Lepisosteus oculatus: one gene and its partner. The protein of the gene in region 1 binds, or shares a complex with, the protein of each later gene. Links are inferred from orthologs where the notes say so. Each region holds a gene or a part of one and is shown in the gene's direction. Other genes may lie near its edges. The genes, in order: wdr20a and usp46.

The links.
Region 2: the proteins of wdr20a (region 1) and usp46 are in contact, whole or in part, in a crystal structure (PDB 6JLQ), measured with the Homo sapiens proteins. The link is inferred for Lepisosteus oculatus from reciprocal best matches to the Homo sapiens genes WDR20 and USP46. Residues at the interface, in NP_653175.2 of Homo sapiens: Asn41, Ser42, Gly44, Arg151, Lys259, Tyr261, Phe262, Gly263, Glu282, Asp283, Asp284, Leu285, His301, Lys304, Ser305, Trp306, Gln374, Asp375, Thr376, Leu509, Arg516, Met517, His533, Glu534, Arg535; in NP_073743.2 of Homo sapiens: Asn205, Thr206, Ser207, Thr209, His210, Arg213, Arg273, Val275, Phe276, Pro277, Glu279, Leu280, Arg281, Phe283, Asp293, Met295, Gln338, Glu342, Tyr344, Thr347, Ser348.

Annotation. Positions count from the first base shown.
Region 1 is NC_090703.1:11,287,893-11,295,882, reverse strand, and holds the start of wdr20a (WD repeat-containing protein 20), read left to right. Parts: upstream 1-4,956; 5' UTR 4,957-4,992; coding exon 4,993-5,256; intron 5,257-7,990. Other genes in the region: hsp90aa1.1 (heat shock protein HSP 90-alpha 1), read right to left, coding at 1-34. UniProt on the Homo sapiens protein: Regulator of deubiquitinating complexes. Activates deubiquitinating activity of complexes containing USP12. Anchors at the base of the ubiquitin-contacting loop of USP12 and remotely modulates the catalytic center of the enzyme.
Region 2 is NC_090696.1:78,123,275-78,130,541, reverse strand, and holds the start of usp46 (ubiquitin carboxyl-terminal hydrolase 46), read left to right. Parts: upstream 1-4,264; 5' UTR 4,265-4,919; coding exon 4,920-4,955; intron 4,956-6,342; coding exon 6,343-6,423; intron 6,424-6,914; coding exon 6,915-7,128; intron 7,129-7,267. Other genes in the region: uncharacterized protein, read right to left, coding at 380-446, 2,018-2,283. UniProt on the Homo sapiens protein: Deubiquitinating enzyme that plays a role in behavior, possibly by regulating GABA action. May act by mediating the deubiquitination of GAD1/GAD67.

The DNA of each region.
Region 1 (7,990 bases):
GGCTTGGCACACTGTTCTTCACTTCTTCTGGCATCTGGTTCAACACAATTGGCCGACAATTGAGCAATAATGTGAGAGAATCCAGTTTTTAAATATGAACTATTAAAAGCTACACAAAATATTCTAAAAACTTTTTTGAGCATACTAGTTTAGATGCCGTCTGGACATGGGGAAATGTCATTTTTATAAACAAAACCATACACTCTGTATTGCTGGAACCAGTTAAAATCAATTATAACGTCTGTGCAGATCCTGGGTTTCGACACAAATTTTTAGTAAAGAATTAAATGCATTTATACATTTAACTTGTCTTCCTCTGCTAATATTCAGTTAATTTCCCTAAGGCTCTTTATTCTGCCAAATTCTGTCAAACATAATAGAGGAACGTATAAATTAATACCACACTTGTAAGCTACTGTACCCTTCTTTGGCACTCAGTACACAATTTCAGAGCAGACTTGCAGTTTTTCTATTTTTCAGGCATGTTTTTTGATTTTGTTATTTTTTGCATCGAGGATTTAACATTAAATAAACCCAGATTTATTTTTCTTGTGAAACGAGGATGAACTTCCCCGGTTCACACTGCAGGCCCCCATTGTAATCAGCTCCTCTTTGCTGAGCTGCCTAGCAGTCCGCTGTCCCAGCTACAGTACAGCGCGCCTGGCCACACGAGCTGCTCTGCCATGTGCCCTGTCTGCTCACACTGCAAAACCCTCCGCCATTTCAGAACTGACCACACCGGAGAACTACAGGGACCTGGAGAAATTCACCCGCCTCATTCATTTAAGCCCCAAGGCGCGAGGATTTCCCGAATACTTCAAAAATGTAAAATTATCCCGTAATTCCTCCTTCACCCCCGCCCCCCGGCATATGTGTAGTCTTTTACTCACCGTGCTGGTTGCTTTGCAGTGAGCTGCGTTACTGTGTGTGGTTCTCTCTTCTTCTCGTCTTGCTTGTGTGTTTTCCAAAAACTGAGCTCCCTGAGCCTTAAGCTCCTTTTTATACCTAGGGGTGACTTTCCAGAAGCTCTCATTCAGAAACTACCAGAAGGAATGCCCACTGGGGCGCGGACCTAAAGAAAGTAACAGTGATAGGGGCACTTTTTGCAGCTGTCCTGGTCTTCCCTTTTAGGGATGCAGAGTTGCAACAGGGCCCCGCCAATCACCCCTGCACCACCGGGCCCTGGCCAGAGAGCAAGGCCTGCCCAGCGCAGCAGCTGTCTGTGAACCTCACCACCACAGCTGAGGCCAAGACCCGCTCCTTCACATGTAAAAGATAAAAACCTGGGACCGGACGGATCCTCCGGCCTTCTTTATCCCAACCCGACTGTCCATCACACCACACAACCGTCAACGTGCTCCCAAAGAAGCATACTCCTGTCTATTGTGCACGGCAAAAAAGGAAGCACTAGCATTCATATTCTCAGTATACATCAGATTAATAGATTCACATGCGTAGGATGAGGCACATTATACAACACCCAACCCCTGAACCTTAGCTGTCTTACATAAGCAAAGCATAAAATAATGTTTTTTTTTTTTTAACCCATGAGAACTGAAAACAGCTTTGAATCTCCCAGGATATACAGGATGTTACTATGGTCTGTGTAGATATTCCAGGAGTGGCACGTGTTTTTGCTCGTCTGTGATATTACATCAATGTACAGTATGTTTTGTGGGACTAGGTTTGTAATATTGTGATATTAATACGATGCTGTTTACATTTGTAGGATAACCAGAGAAGCAGTGCTAGGAGGATCTGAAGAATAGTCTTTAGCACTGATAGGCAGAATGATCAGGGAAATTATTTGGGACAGGTAGAGAAAAACGTCGTTCAATCATTGCTATGATTAAGATGTATACGAAAATACGGAGGCATAGACATAGATCTTAATTGCAATGCTCCTTTGCTTTCTGCACCTTTCCTGTACTGCAACTGACCGTTCATTCATTCATCCAGACTTTTTCATTTGCCTCAGGATAAGAATTGTGTGATAGTCGGTTGTTTGTGCAGTTTTCTAGTGCACGTCGCATGTGTTTCGTGTTTTTATTTCAGTGAAAATCCGTAAAAAAAAAACTGACTGCGGAAATGCAATTATGGCAATGCACAAATTCGTTTATCCGTATTTTGTCAGGTAATCTCTAGAAAGATCTCGAAGTGTGCTGAACCCCAGCTTGCGCAATTGATTAAGCATCGCAATGTCAGAGCGAAGGTAGTCCATATGAGTTTCTGTAACCTTCAACGAGAACATGCTGGAAGTTCACGCCAGCTCTTCCTGGTAGGAGGGCCCAGCTGTCAAGCATGCTAGACGGAGGAGGGCCAGCGACAGTCTTGGAATTTCTTGTTTTGATTCAGGACTGTGAAAGTTAACCCGGGATTCTAGAAAGACGCGAGGAGAGATGTTTGTAGAAAAAAAAATCTCACCTTTTCATTCTAGAAAGCTCTATATGTAGGATTGGATCTGCAGGGCTTTTTAGGATTTTTTTTTTCCTTCAAGAAAGGTCGTCCTCACCAATCACTGAAGACTTCAGCGCGGCCCTCATCGACCATGTGACTCTTGACGCCGGGCGCTTGCAGTCACTTCATCGTTGTCTTACATATTACTCGTTCATCGGGCAGGCACTTGGAAGTGTTTTTTTTTTCCTTTCGGTTCACAAAAAGACATACAAAAAAAACCCAATTGTTTCTGCTCGTTCTCCTTACAAACAGCTCCCAGTTTTTGGATTGTGCAGAAGGGGTCATCGGATTTTGCATGAAAACGTTTACGTAAATTAAAGAAGGTACTAGTAAGGTTCTGCACAGGGATAAAATGTGAGGACTCACCCAGTGTTACAAAGTGTGCGATCTATCCTCTATAGCTGTTCAGATCTATAATATCAATTCCTAGTTGGACTCTGGAAACGGAAAGCGCACTGTTGGCTAAATTTCATATTAGCGGCATAATTCGAAGGGTAAGAAAATGCGGTAATTAAAAGGTAAAAAAAAGATGGGGTTTTAGTAAGCTTTTTGACCAACTTTTATAATGTAAACGTTTTTGTTTCTGCACTGTTTTCTAAAATGCTGATAAAATGCTGTTTTTGTTTACTCGTACCTTTGTCTTTATTATTTTATTAAACTTAGCTAGGAAAAAGATATAAGATCTTATTTTTGTCTAGACAAATGTTTAGACACGTTGTAATTTTTTTTTTCTATTAACTATACCAATACTTTTGATAGATACGTTAGGTCCCAAATGTACTTTAATTTAATGTACAGTACATGCTCTTATCAGTTTAGGAAAAGGTCGTTAATATGCAGTTCTGCTCTTAAAAGTAATGCTCTTTAAAAATAGTCAGGACAACAGGATAACGGGGAAAACGTTATCGTCACTGCATTTTTAAAGGCGTGGGACACAAACATTTTCAGGTTTTCCCTAGCATCATGAAATATTTGATCTCTGCCACCCTTTAACATGAATTCGCCTCATGAATCTAATATAATAAAGTTCAATGCGTGTATCTTCGACTTATTTTATTCGAGCTTTACGGTCTCACGTTTTGGTCGTGATGTTGTCAACCTTGGTTGGCCACTAGGAGGCGCCATCGGTTCGCTTTTTGACGCAATCTGCACCCGTTATCGCACTAAACTGTACCACACGCCAAAATAACAAGAGTACAGCAACACAACTTCATTACAAGAGAAAACAAACGTATAAAATGAGCGCTTATTAACCTGTTTTGAGGTCATATGGGGGTTGTTGCGTGTGATTATCCACAGCAGGTCAATATCAGCAGAGACGTGGAAATTTGGAAGTCAAAGTCCATAGCAGAGCATAGTGATTCATCCGGCCCGAGCTCATCCTAGTTACCTTAGTGTTAAGCGGACTAGGACCATGTGACTAACCCCCAGCCGAAGATGGGACATAGGTTCATCGCAGGCATTACCCCCTATGGGAACTATGGGTAAGGTACCTGGCTGACGGGTACATTAGTGTCTGCAGCGGTGACTCGAACCCGCAACCTGTCAGTTATGAATCCAGCGGCTCGTTCACTTCTTTACGCTGTTCCCCTTCAAAAATGGTTTATTTGTTTTATTTGAGAGCCCAGGGGCGTTGATGCCGTTGAACGGGATATAAGCAATCAGGCCTGCACTCCCGATGTCTTCCCTCACGTTGCCGCCGTACATGTAGTGTTAAAGAATAAAGAAGTTCAACAGTGTCAAGTCCTGTCTCTTGTACATAAACCTGACGAGAAACATATCAAAGACTGGGATGCGAAATCGACTATCCTCACTCGAGATCGGATCATTTCTTTAAGATCTGCGCACTGTCTGGATGTTCAGTGAAGGTTTTCCCTCATAATACATTTAATTAATTTGACCCTTGTTTTGGTAGTGGAGCAAGGCACGGTTCTCTCCCTACGTGCCATAACATATTATTGTTATTGTTATAGTTTTATTTCATTTTTTATGGATGGACAATCGCGTTGTTTCATTTTGAAAGACTGGTATGCTGGAGACTATACCAATAAGCTATATGTTAATGTTAAAAGCAAATAATAACAAATAAAAAATACCGTGAGTCGTACATAGATCTATATTATATGCGTACACATGTGAATACAGTGTTTTATAACCAATACATAATGCATTTTTACCCGATAACGTGTTAGCAGATAGCACGTTTCCAGCCTTGTAACGTGTGAAAGACGTCGTCATCAGAAACTGTGAATATTTTGAAACTCTCATGCAAGTTTCTCTTTTAATTGACCCTTTGTGGGTGATGCCCTTGACAGCACTGCGGTGTGAGCGCTGACCAGCGATGGCCTCCGGGCGCAGTCCACCTCCGCTCTTACCTTGACGAGCCCTGTGACCCGCACTCCACATGCTATTTTGCAATTAAGGAAGAAGCACGTGAATTCCTGGATCAGCTGACGAACCAGCGCCATGCGAGTCGGCTCCGCGAGCAGCAGTACGCATGCTCCGTGTGTAAGATCCGGGCTTGGGGCAGGATGAATGCTAATTTTCAAGATGGCGGCGGAGGGAGGAGGGAAGGAGATGAACGAAATTAAAACTCAGTTCACCACCCGGGAAGGCGTCTACAAACTCCTCACTCACTCCGAATATAGCCGCCCCAACAGGGTGCCTTTCAATTCCCAGGGCTCTAACCCCGTCAAAGTCTCCTTCGTCAACGTCAACGACCAGTCTGGTAACGGCGACAGAATCTGTTTCAATGTGGGCCGGGAGCTATACTTTTATATCTACAAAGGCGTCAGAAAGGTAAACAGGACGTTACGTTCTCCAAGCCAACGGCTCTTATAGCATTAATGTTTGCTTTTAAAGTAGAGAAGTAATGGGGTATAATGCGGCTGACGCAACCAAAGTGACACCTACCTCCAGTTTGCTTTTCGCCTTTCTTGTTAAACAGTTGTGGTATGCACTGAGCTGACAGCTGAAAAAGGCCCTGTTTCACCTGCTTTGGAATGTGCATCTAGCGTCCGTCATGGTCATATATAGACGAAGTGGTGCACAAATGTGTCTAAACTTGCGTGCGTGAACTTCACGGTGTCTGTGCTTCAATCGTTCGGGACGTGACGTGCGGCGACAGTCGGGTCGTGTGACAGATCTGCTCAGTTAGCTTGTGTGTGAGGTGCCACGCAAAGCAATGGATGTGTCTCCATTTGGTTACTTGTTTCTCATTTTCTCGGGGTTGGTGTTTTATCCGTAGTTGATCTCACTTTCCAAGGCGACCCTGTCTTGCGGAGGCGGTACGCGAAGCAGAACTATATGGTAACTTAGTACGCCTAGCGTGCGAGCTGTTTTGTGTATTGCATGAATTTGCCGTGACCGACACGCAGGTCTCTCTGGTTGTGACTAGGACAGAGGCGTAAGAGGAGACGTTAATGATCTGAATTCAATGTGTGAAATCATGCGTAAGGTGGGCGTATTGTAAACTGTTAAACACTTTCAGCCTGGATGAGCGGAGTCGCTGTTCGACGCAGTATGTAATTTCGGGTGTCAAGAGTACTGCTTGATGATTATTATGTGGCTTAAGTGCCCTATCAGACAACCTTTCGTTTCTTCAGCAGTTTGGAAACCCTTCGTTGAGGTCGGTATTGAAAATGTCTGCTCTGATCTCTGTAGAAGGCTACAGATTTGATAGAAAATCACACTGTTTTCCCACACCGTGAATGTACTTGGGGGTTATGGTAACTCTGGGAACACAGGTAATTTGAATGTCGAAGGATTAAAGCCACGCCTTATGTTGGAAAGTCATGCTGGACGTTCACCGTGCCCGTATACCCAATAAAGCTGGCATTGCTCAGCAAGTTTGCAGTGTCATTGGAGTATGCGGGAATGTTTCACTTTTGAGAGTTGAGCGTAATACATTTATGTAGAGGAGGGTTGGAAGAGTACTGCTGAAAGGGTATTGTAATTTTAAAAAAAAAATACTTCAGGTAATAACCCCAGATATTTAAAGACAGTCTGTCATATCTGTTGATTGAGATTTGTTGAGAACACTGCGGTAGTTCTCACATGTTGAGAAAAGGTTCAAATTAAAGTGCTTCCTGAAAATGTCTGGTTTGATTAAAATGGGAATACTACGGCATTACATTTCACTGAACAGCTTAGTATTTAATTGGAAACCTGTGCCAGGCTGTGTACTATATCCTGCTCTGTCCTGAAGTTGATTTGAATGCTGTGTTCTTGAGTAATGTGCCTCAAGGCTTTCAGTAATACATTCCAGAGCTGACACTATCCCATTACGTGCCTTATCCAAATTTCCTATATCATCCCGTTTTTCATCACAATTGTAAAGTCTGGGCTCTGAAAATACTGTTCTAAAGCTGATGGTGTTCTATCTGCTTGTTCCTTCTTTGCTCATGGGTTTATGATGTATTTTCTATGTACCTGGAATCACTTCTTGGTGGCACAGTATAGACAACTGTAGATGCTTGATTTACCCTTGAGTTCCTAATTGTCAAGAGTCCGAATGTCTATCTGGGTGAATACATCAGGGTTTTCTCTTATCTTTAGTCAGTACATAGTACATATTTCATTCATATGTACATGTATAGCTAGACGATGTTTTGCATTGTAGTGTTTGTCATCCATCACAATGCCTATGACTCCCTTATTGTAGGACACTTAGGACTCAAACACATTCTCAGAGTGTGGAGATTTTGCCACTGGGTGTTGGGGGTTCTTCATGGAAAAACTTGTCAAATGCTTTGTAGTCTTGGGAAGTGAAGTCTATGCTGGTCTCTTTGCATGCAGACAAAACTTTATGTGCAAGTTTCTTTGCAAGTAATCTGACGCATGTCTAGAGAAGTGACTTTACTAGTGCCTCCCTCAGTAGCAAAACTGAAATCTATTACGATTTGTCTTGACGCTATGTCCGCTTAATAATGCTAATATATTTTACAGTTAAGAATTAATAAAAAAACTGTACAAAGAAGTCTATGCTTAAAATGTACATATTAATTTGCATGTATTTAACTGCATATGTTGCTCATGCAGTTACTGTTTAAAGTACCAACTCTTCTCGTTAGACAGATGGACTTAATTCTCTTGCAAGAAAGCACATTTGCAGATCTCAGTGGAACCTTTTTTATCTAAGTGAAAATGCTGTTTTTCCTCTTGGATGGTCTTATTAAAACTATAAGAATGAGGAAGGATTTAGAGCTATATGAACTCTTCAGTTTACCAGTGTGACTGATAGTGCAGATGACCAGGTGGGTGAAAGTCCTCTGCCTGCACATGGAGTGCACATTTAGCAAAGAGACAGAGGATACATGCTGGCCAGGCACTCACTTAAATCTGGGCGAAACATGTGGTTAGTAATAGTAGTGCAGTATGTCCTTTACAGAACTAACTAGGATTGTAACTTTTCAGCTTTAAATTTCTCTCAAAGCCATATTTCAAGTTGCCTTTTGATCCATGGATCTGTGATTCATTTTCGTGCTTTAGTTTTTGTTGAAAGAGTTGCAGGGATATCTCTTGTTCAATTTTA
Region 2 (7,267 bases), on another chromosome or scaffold:
TAAATTTCAACAGCCATCAAGCGACAGACAGAAGTTTAATACTTTATACAGTTACAAATAAAACATGTAACGGCACAGTACAATTTTAACTTCTTTTATTCACAAATAAATTGTGAATAAACCATCAAATTGCCTGAAACATCCCCATCTACTCCCAACTTGAATACAGAACAGATCTGAGCTCTGGACACACTAGACGCATGACATCCTCAGTTCCAGAGTAAATGTGTTCCTCACGACAGGATCCGAACCAGAGACGGCACCTCTGCTTCGGGTTTAAGAGAGGAGTGCTGTTCCCCCCTGTGTTGGCCACCCAAGACACTGACAGCCTTAAATGGGCAAAGCTTTAAGGGGATACAAAACCATTAAGACTGCATACCTTCCTGTCGAACCCGGAGCCACGACTACACCGCGATGGCTGGAGGACAGCATCGCCCGTCAGGGGGCTGCAATTGAAAAGACAACCTGTCAATCAGTCAGTCTCACTCTCATACACAGCACCTTTCAACACAGGGCCCTGGTGAGGCTTGTCGAGACGCGTCCACAGTCACAACCGCGAACCAGCGGGGGACCGTTCCATTGCGGCATTCAGAAACAAAAGACGAACATGGTGCATCGATCCAGTTTAAAAAAATAAGCCTCCCACAGAGAACTACTACAGCATACAAAGCAAGCACCACCGCTATGTGCACGCCAGCACTAGAATAAGAAAACGCCTGGTGTGTCCTGACGGTACCCGTGAGACCGCGCGTGTGAATCTAACCGTCTCCAGTGTCACCCCTGCATGCCCGCTCTGCGGTCCACCAGTGCAACGCCTCCAGGTCATCACTTCGACTGGGACAGTATCGACATCGGAGCTCTGACACTCAGCTCCCGCAGGGCCGGGGCTCCTGGCTTCTGGTCCAAAGTGGGCAGCGAGTGGCTGACCATTTCCCTCATCTTACAGGCGATCACACAGATCTTCCACGTGATCGAGGGCTACCGCTACCTGTAACCGCCCCACGCCAGCCTGGTTAGAAGCACTACAGTGAGGTCACCAATTAAAATAACTTAGACCCACCCTGGAGCAGATCGCAGCTGGAACACGAATCCAAAGAAAACAGGACCCTGCAGGACCCCCGATTCAGACGACACCCGAGAGGGGTCGCTCGTCACGCAACAGACCAAGGCGATCAGGACCTACCTAGGCGATCAGGACTCGGGGCAGAGAGGGCACTCATCTGTCCTCCCGTGTCGGACACGGAACGCCGCAGGCCCGCCCCCAGCTGTGGAAACACAAAAACGAGATTTTTTTCCTCCTTCTTTAAAGGAGAAAGACGCACCGACATCAAGGCGCTTCCGCGTGGAGCCCGGACCGGGTATCCCAGACCTGCTGGTGTGAAGAGCACAGTGCTGCGGGCTCCAAACGGAGGAAGAAAGGGCCGCATTTATATTTATCCGCCCCTTTCCTGGCTGGGAGGGGAAACCAGCCACAGCTCACAATGCAAACGCAGTTATCACCGAAAGCAGTTCAAGTAGGGAGCTGCGTCAGCATGCGTGAGCTGCAAAGGAACGAGTAAAAGTTTATTCCTGCTGAAAAGAGAAGGAAAACACTAAGTTTTTTTTTTCTTCTCTATTCAGCATAGAATAAAATTTTACTTGTTCCATTACCAGAGAAATACTAGCAGACGGTTCGTTCGACAAAGCTACGCAAGACGGAAACGTGGGCAAACCCGTCAGGAAAAGGCGATAACAAAACGAAACAGCAAAATCCGCATGCCACGTGGTCGCTGAAAAACCCAACTCCCCGTACAGCCTCAGCACACAACCGCGCCGCGACCTCCCCAAGCACTGCAAAGTGCATTATTACTGCGTCGCAATTCCGCTAAGCAAATTTTAATCACGTATAAAGGCTACACTACTGCTTCCTTCTACCTCTCTGAACTACACGGTTTGTCAACTACCAGGGGTAGACAGCCGGAGGCCTGTGCAGCACAAACCGCCCCCCCAGAAAACAAAGGATCCCCCAATAACTAACCATCCAGCTGATGAATAATAACGCGGGACATTGCACTCGCGTTCCCCCCACAGAAACGCTAGCTGCTGCGTCCCTCTGCGCCATTTCATTTCACGATTTCTCCAAATCTGCACAACGCCCGCACAGCCCGCGCGTCCGTCCACCGCGCGGCCCAGGAGGAAGAGGAGGAGCGCCGGTGCATGCTGGGAAACTAGCGAGCCCCGGAGCCCGGCCTCCTTCGTTAAAGGCGCAGCTCTGCACGGCACTGGCTCGACACAGCAGGCCATCGCCAGAACAGTTTGAGCGGGTGGGCAATTGGTTTGAACCGGGGGGGTGGGTTTGAGCGTCTATTTGAGACTCTACAGACGATGGTTACCTAATCAACGCCACAATATAGGAGGCACAGTCAAAAGTATTTCAGGTGGGACAGTAACTAAGAGGGAGGCCATTCAGGAGTGAAAACAGGGGGCGTTTTTAACACAAATGTTCATGGGGGGTCTGGAACACACTACCCAGCAGAGCTGCTGAAGAAGATTCCCTGGGATCTTTCAAAATATGGTGGGATGAGTTCTTGAATTCATTGAGCAGCTTCCAGCCTGATGAGCAAGCAGGGTCAAACAGTCTGACTCGTCTTCTCTCTGACATGACATACTCTGCAGTGCAGAACATACTGTACATTCACAGATACACACTGGAGCAAAAACTTTCGAAAAACACTTCATTTTTATTGTCATCTGATGGTTTAGACCTGAATGTTTTGTAGATGTTCCATTTAGGATGAGCAAAGCTCAAAGCTTCCCAGCTTCTTTGAAGGGAAATTGAGTTCTGTTTCATTTCAGCGAACCGGGGAATGTGACTGTGTAAATGTAACACAACTTGAAAGGAGCCAGAGGAGGTATCCTCCGTCCCTGGTGGGATGAGCTGTACTAGCTAATAAATCGCACGCAGCTTTGTATTCCCAACAAGCACCTCCCAGATGAGGTCTTGCAGGCTGAGTTTACTGAGTTTCTTATAAACCAAATTCAAAAGCAAACTAAAAAAAGCATTTCCATGGAAGCCCTCTTGGGAAACAATAGCCCACTCTTCTTAAGAAACCACAACCGAAGACCCATTAATCGTTTAATAAAACATTGTAGCCTCTTTACGAAGCTGGCAGACAGTTGTACAGCACCATCTATTTTAAGCATCATTAAAAACAATGAGACTTCCTCGGAACGCTGTCTCCACACAGATCCCACAGAGATCCCACAGAACTCCAAATGTCACCAACTGGCTTGATTATGGGAGATAGTGCTTCCACTGTAAACACTCTGTTTACCAGAAAAACGTTGTTACATTTTAGAAGTCTTTTTTTTGGCAAGCTTTCACAGAGCTGAAGAAACAATTGGTCAGAACTGGAAGTGCTCTGTTACAGTTGTAACGCAACGGGGGTTCAGGCGGGCACCCTTGCCGCATTAGGTCGGCCCCCCACCGTCGGGGGGCTCGAACCCGGGACTCCCGCGTCGCTCAGCAGGGACCCAGCTCGGTGAGCCGAAGAGAGATCTCTCCCCAGCCCAGGGGCTGTGGTCCTGCTGTCACAGGGAAGGGCGGTGACGTCACCTGCTCTGGTAAGCCGGCTCTTACACAGTACCTGTCGGCCGTAAGCGTTACACAGTGTTACACGTTCGCATACCCATAGATGACAACACGTGCTTCTTGCTGATGCTCTACCCTGGCTGTGACCGCAGCTCCATGGGTACTTCTAGAGGAAAGGTCTGTGTCCCCTGCTGTTGCCACACGCTAGCGTTCTACCAGAAGGACGTACGCCCCCTGACACCCTGGTTCACAGATGCTCCTCCCTAACGTCCAACAGGAATCACACCGTGCTGTGCTTCTCAGCCTGTACAGCTTCTCTAAATGTTGTTGGAACAGGTCATTTGTTTTGGTCAAAGGTTCGTACTGTTAACAGGTGCAATCACTTGGTGAAGGAGGTGTAGACTTCCACAGAATAACAGACCTCAGTAACAGACATGACTTGTCCTGTTTCCTTCGAGTGCTACACCTTTGCGAGCCTGCTGTGAGGGGATACCTACAATATCTGTTATTCGGGGCAAGCAGTCCGAGCCATGTGCCATTAACACAACAGGAAGAAAAAAACACTATACAGACTACTCCCAGCTTCAGTGCGCTCTATTTCATAGCCAAGGAAAGAGCACTGAACAGCGTGCGGAGACAAGGCCGAGCGATACTCTTAAGTTTGTCCTGAGAAAAATATAAGGACACTATTCAGTGAAGCGGTGCAACAGTGCAGCTCTGCTCAGGAACAGCAGAGCGTGTTTAACGCGGTGTGTGGAGTGGGATCAGTCCTGACAGCTGCCTTCTCTTTAAACTGCTCCAGCCTCTGTCGCCTCGCCCCCCTCCCCAGGCTCCTGGCTGCGGCGCTGGCCGGCTGATTGGCCGCAGCCCGGCTCCGGGATCCCCGCACGGCCATCCGATTAGCCCAGCCGGTCTGTCTCTCAGCCGGCCCCGCCGCCGCCGCCGCGCTCCGAGCCGGTTCGGTACCTACCCACCTCGGCGAGCGGGAGGGGGCGTGTGGCTACTTCTCCCTGCGACTCGCCGGTCCCGGCAACCCGACGCAGGCCGTCCTGTTCGCGTCCGCCGTCCGAGCGCAGCGAGGGGGCATCACCTGGCGGAGACATGCACCGAGGCGGGCGCTAGGGCGCCCCGCTGCCCTCTCGTCCCCTGCCCGGGCGGCGTGCACGCATCCGCCGGCGCAGGTCCGAGCCCGGTGGCCGGGGGGCGGTGTGTATATTGCGCCGGGGCAAGGCGGCGTAGCTCCCTGGCTCCTGGAGCTGCCGGCGGAAGACCTTTTCGGCATCGTCCAGCCTCCGTAAATCATGTTTATTTTATAAAGATGGCGCTGAGGGGGGACCCTGTAAACTAAATGACTGTCAGAAATATCGCCTCCATTTGTAATATGGTAAGTAAAGCGCTCATGCACAGGATGGCCCTCGGTGTGCGATGGTGACAGGCGGGCAGCGATCGGGGGGTACGGGGGGCTCTCTCGCCGCCGGTGCTCCCGGTGCGAGTTGCCTTAGGTCCAGCGCTGGCCGGGGCTCAGACCGGGCGCCTGGCAGGGATGCGCAGCTCTAACCGAGGGCACAAGGGCACGGCTGCCGGCCGGGGCGTCACTCAGTGGCGGGCGGGTGGATGGTTTTACTGCGGTTTCCTGCGACTTTTGCAATCGTGCGGGCTGAGATTTACCTTTTCTTTTGCCGTTGACTGTGTATATACAGTCTGTTTTCTCCCCCCGAGGATAATGCGCATCCTTCGCGTACATATTTTGAAACTTCTCCGTAGATCTGGCCGGGCAAAGAAAAACTAGGCTAATCCGCGATTAAATGGTCCCTGTTGTTCCCGACAGTTCTGAAAGACTTACACCGAGGTCAACTTTTGATAGCGTGTGGTGTGGAGCCCAGGCACCGCGCTCATTTTCCCCTCTGTCCTGAAAGTGTGTAAAATACATGATTCACAGTGCCTGTCACTGATTCCCCAAGACGAGTCTTGGGAAAACATCTGCTAATTGGAAACTCATTTTAACTGCCTCTCCTGAGACGTAAAATATTTATGATGATAACAAGCACGCTAGCTTGCAGGTTTAGTAAGTTGTGGCGAATTATGAGATAAAGTTTTTCTCGTTGTGTTCTTTTTTTCATAAAGAGCATTAAAGAAAAACCGGGACAGTTCCAATTACTTTTTTCAGCAACCTTAGACATTATTGAACATGTTCTTGCAGTGTGATGTTTAGTTCCAGTATGGAAATAATGACAGGTTCTATATGTTGAATTTGAAGGAGAAAATTATCGATACATTGCACTATAACCCCAGAACCTTCTGTCCTGATCTCAGCACAGCTCAGAAGCTCAGCAAGGCCGGGCCAGGTCTGCAGGGGGGCCACTCTGGGAAACCAGTTTGCTGTTGTAAATGGTGTTGATGGACCAGTAGGAGGCACTCTTCCCTCTGGTTACAAATTCCAAAACCATTGCAACAATGAGGTGACCAGCACACTGTTCAGCAGGAGGTGCTGTACTTCAGATTAGTTGTTAAACTGAGGTCCCTACGTCTTGGTCTCCTGTAAATCTCCTTTGTTATTGCCTGAAGAGACTGTCAAAGGATATTTGGGTAGTACTGAGAAAACTAAATGAATCTGACTTTTGCTGCAGTGTTCCTCCGAGTGGCGGTATCTGTTTTCAGCTGCACCTGCAGCTCAGCGCTCTTGAATGCAGCTGTCAGGTCGCTGCGAGGCTTGAAGTTTGAAGTTAAGGAGCTGAGATCCGCCTGTCAGCTCGATCTGTGTTTTCTTACAGGGCACCAATGCCTCTGCTCTGGAAAAAGACATTGGTCTGGAGCAGTTTCCAATCAATGAACACTACTTCGGCTTGGTCAATGTAAGTAACATTTCAATACTTATTTAATTATGCATCTTCTCCATTCATATTGCTTCGTTCTCCAGTCGGAAACTGGCACCCTGTTGGAGGAGCAGGCATTGGTGTCGAAGGGTCTTAGTCATCAAATATGGTTCTCCTAGATGAAGAGTGTACTGAAGGGGTTGGAAAGTCATTTAACCTTTGAATTGAACTGCGCATTAAAAAAGTAAAAAACTACAATCAGCAGGCATTCGCCTGGCACTAATGGCCCCTGTAGTAAAGGCCTCTGGAATTGCAGGAACAGTTGAGGCCCCGGATAAGCGGCTCTCCTGCAGAGGGTTCTGGGAGTCTTGCACCCAGCAGGCTCTGCGCAGAGCTTCCCCAGGCCTCTGGCACACGTGTCTTTTTTAAACTAGACGAGCTTCTCCCGCGGAGCAGGAGACTCGTTCTCCCCCGGGGAAGGGCAGGCGTGTAATTGAGAAACCCCCTGTCTTCCTCCTTCTCGCCTGTAGTTCGGCAACACGTGCTACTGCAACTCGGTGCTGCAGGCGCTGTTCTTCTGCCGACCGTTCCGCGAGAACGTGCTGTCCTACAGAGCCCAGCAGAAGAAGAAGGAGAACCTGCTCACCTGCCTGGCCGACCTCTTCCACAGCATCGCCACCCAGAAGAAGAAAGTGGGCGTCATCCCCCCCAAGAAGTTCATCTCCCGGCTGCGCAAGGAAAACGGTGAGAGCCTCTGGGGGCGCTGCGTGGCGGCTTCGACGAGGGCCGGTGCGTTTTTACAGAGCCCTCCTGGGACACGCGTGACAACACTGAGATCACCACACGTTTAGGTTGCTTTCTCCTTTTCCCCCCAGAAGCAGTC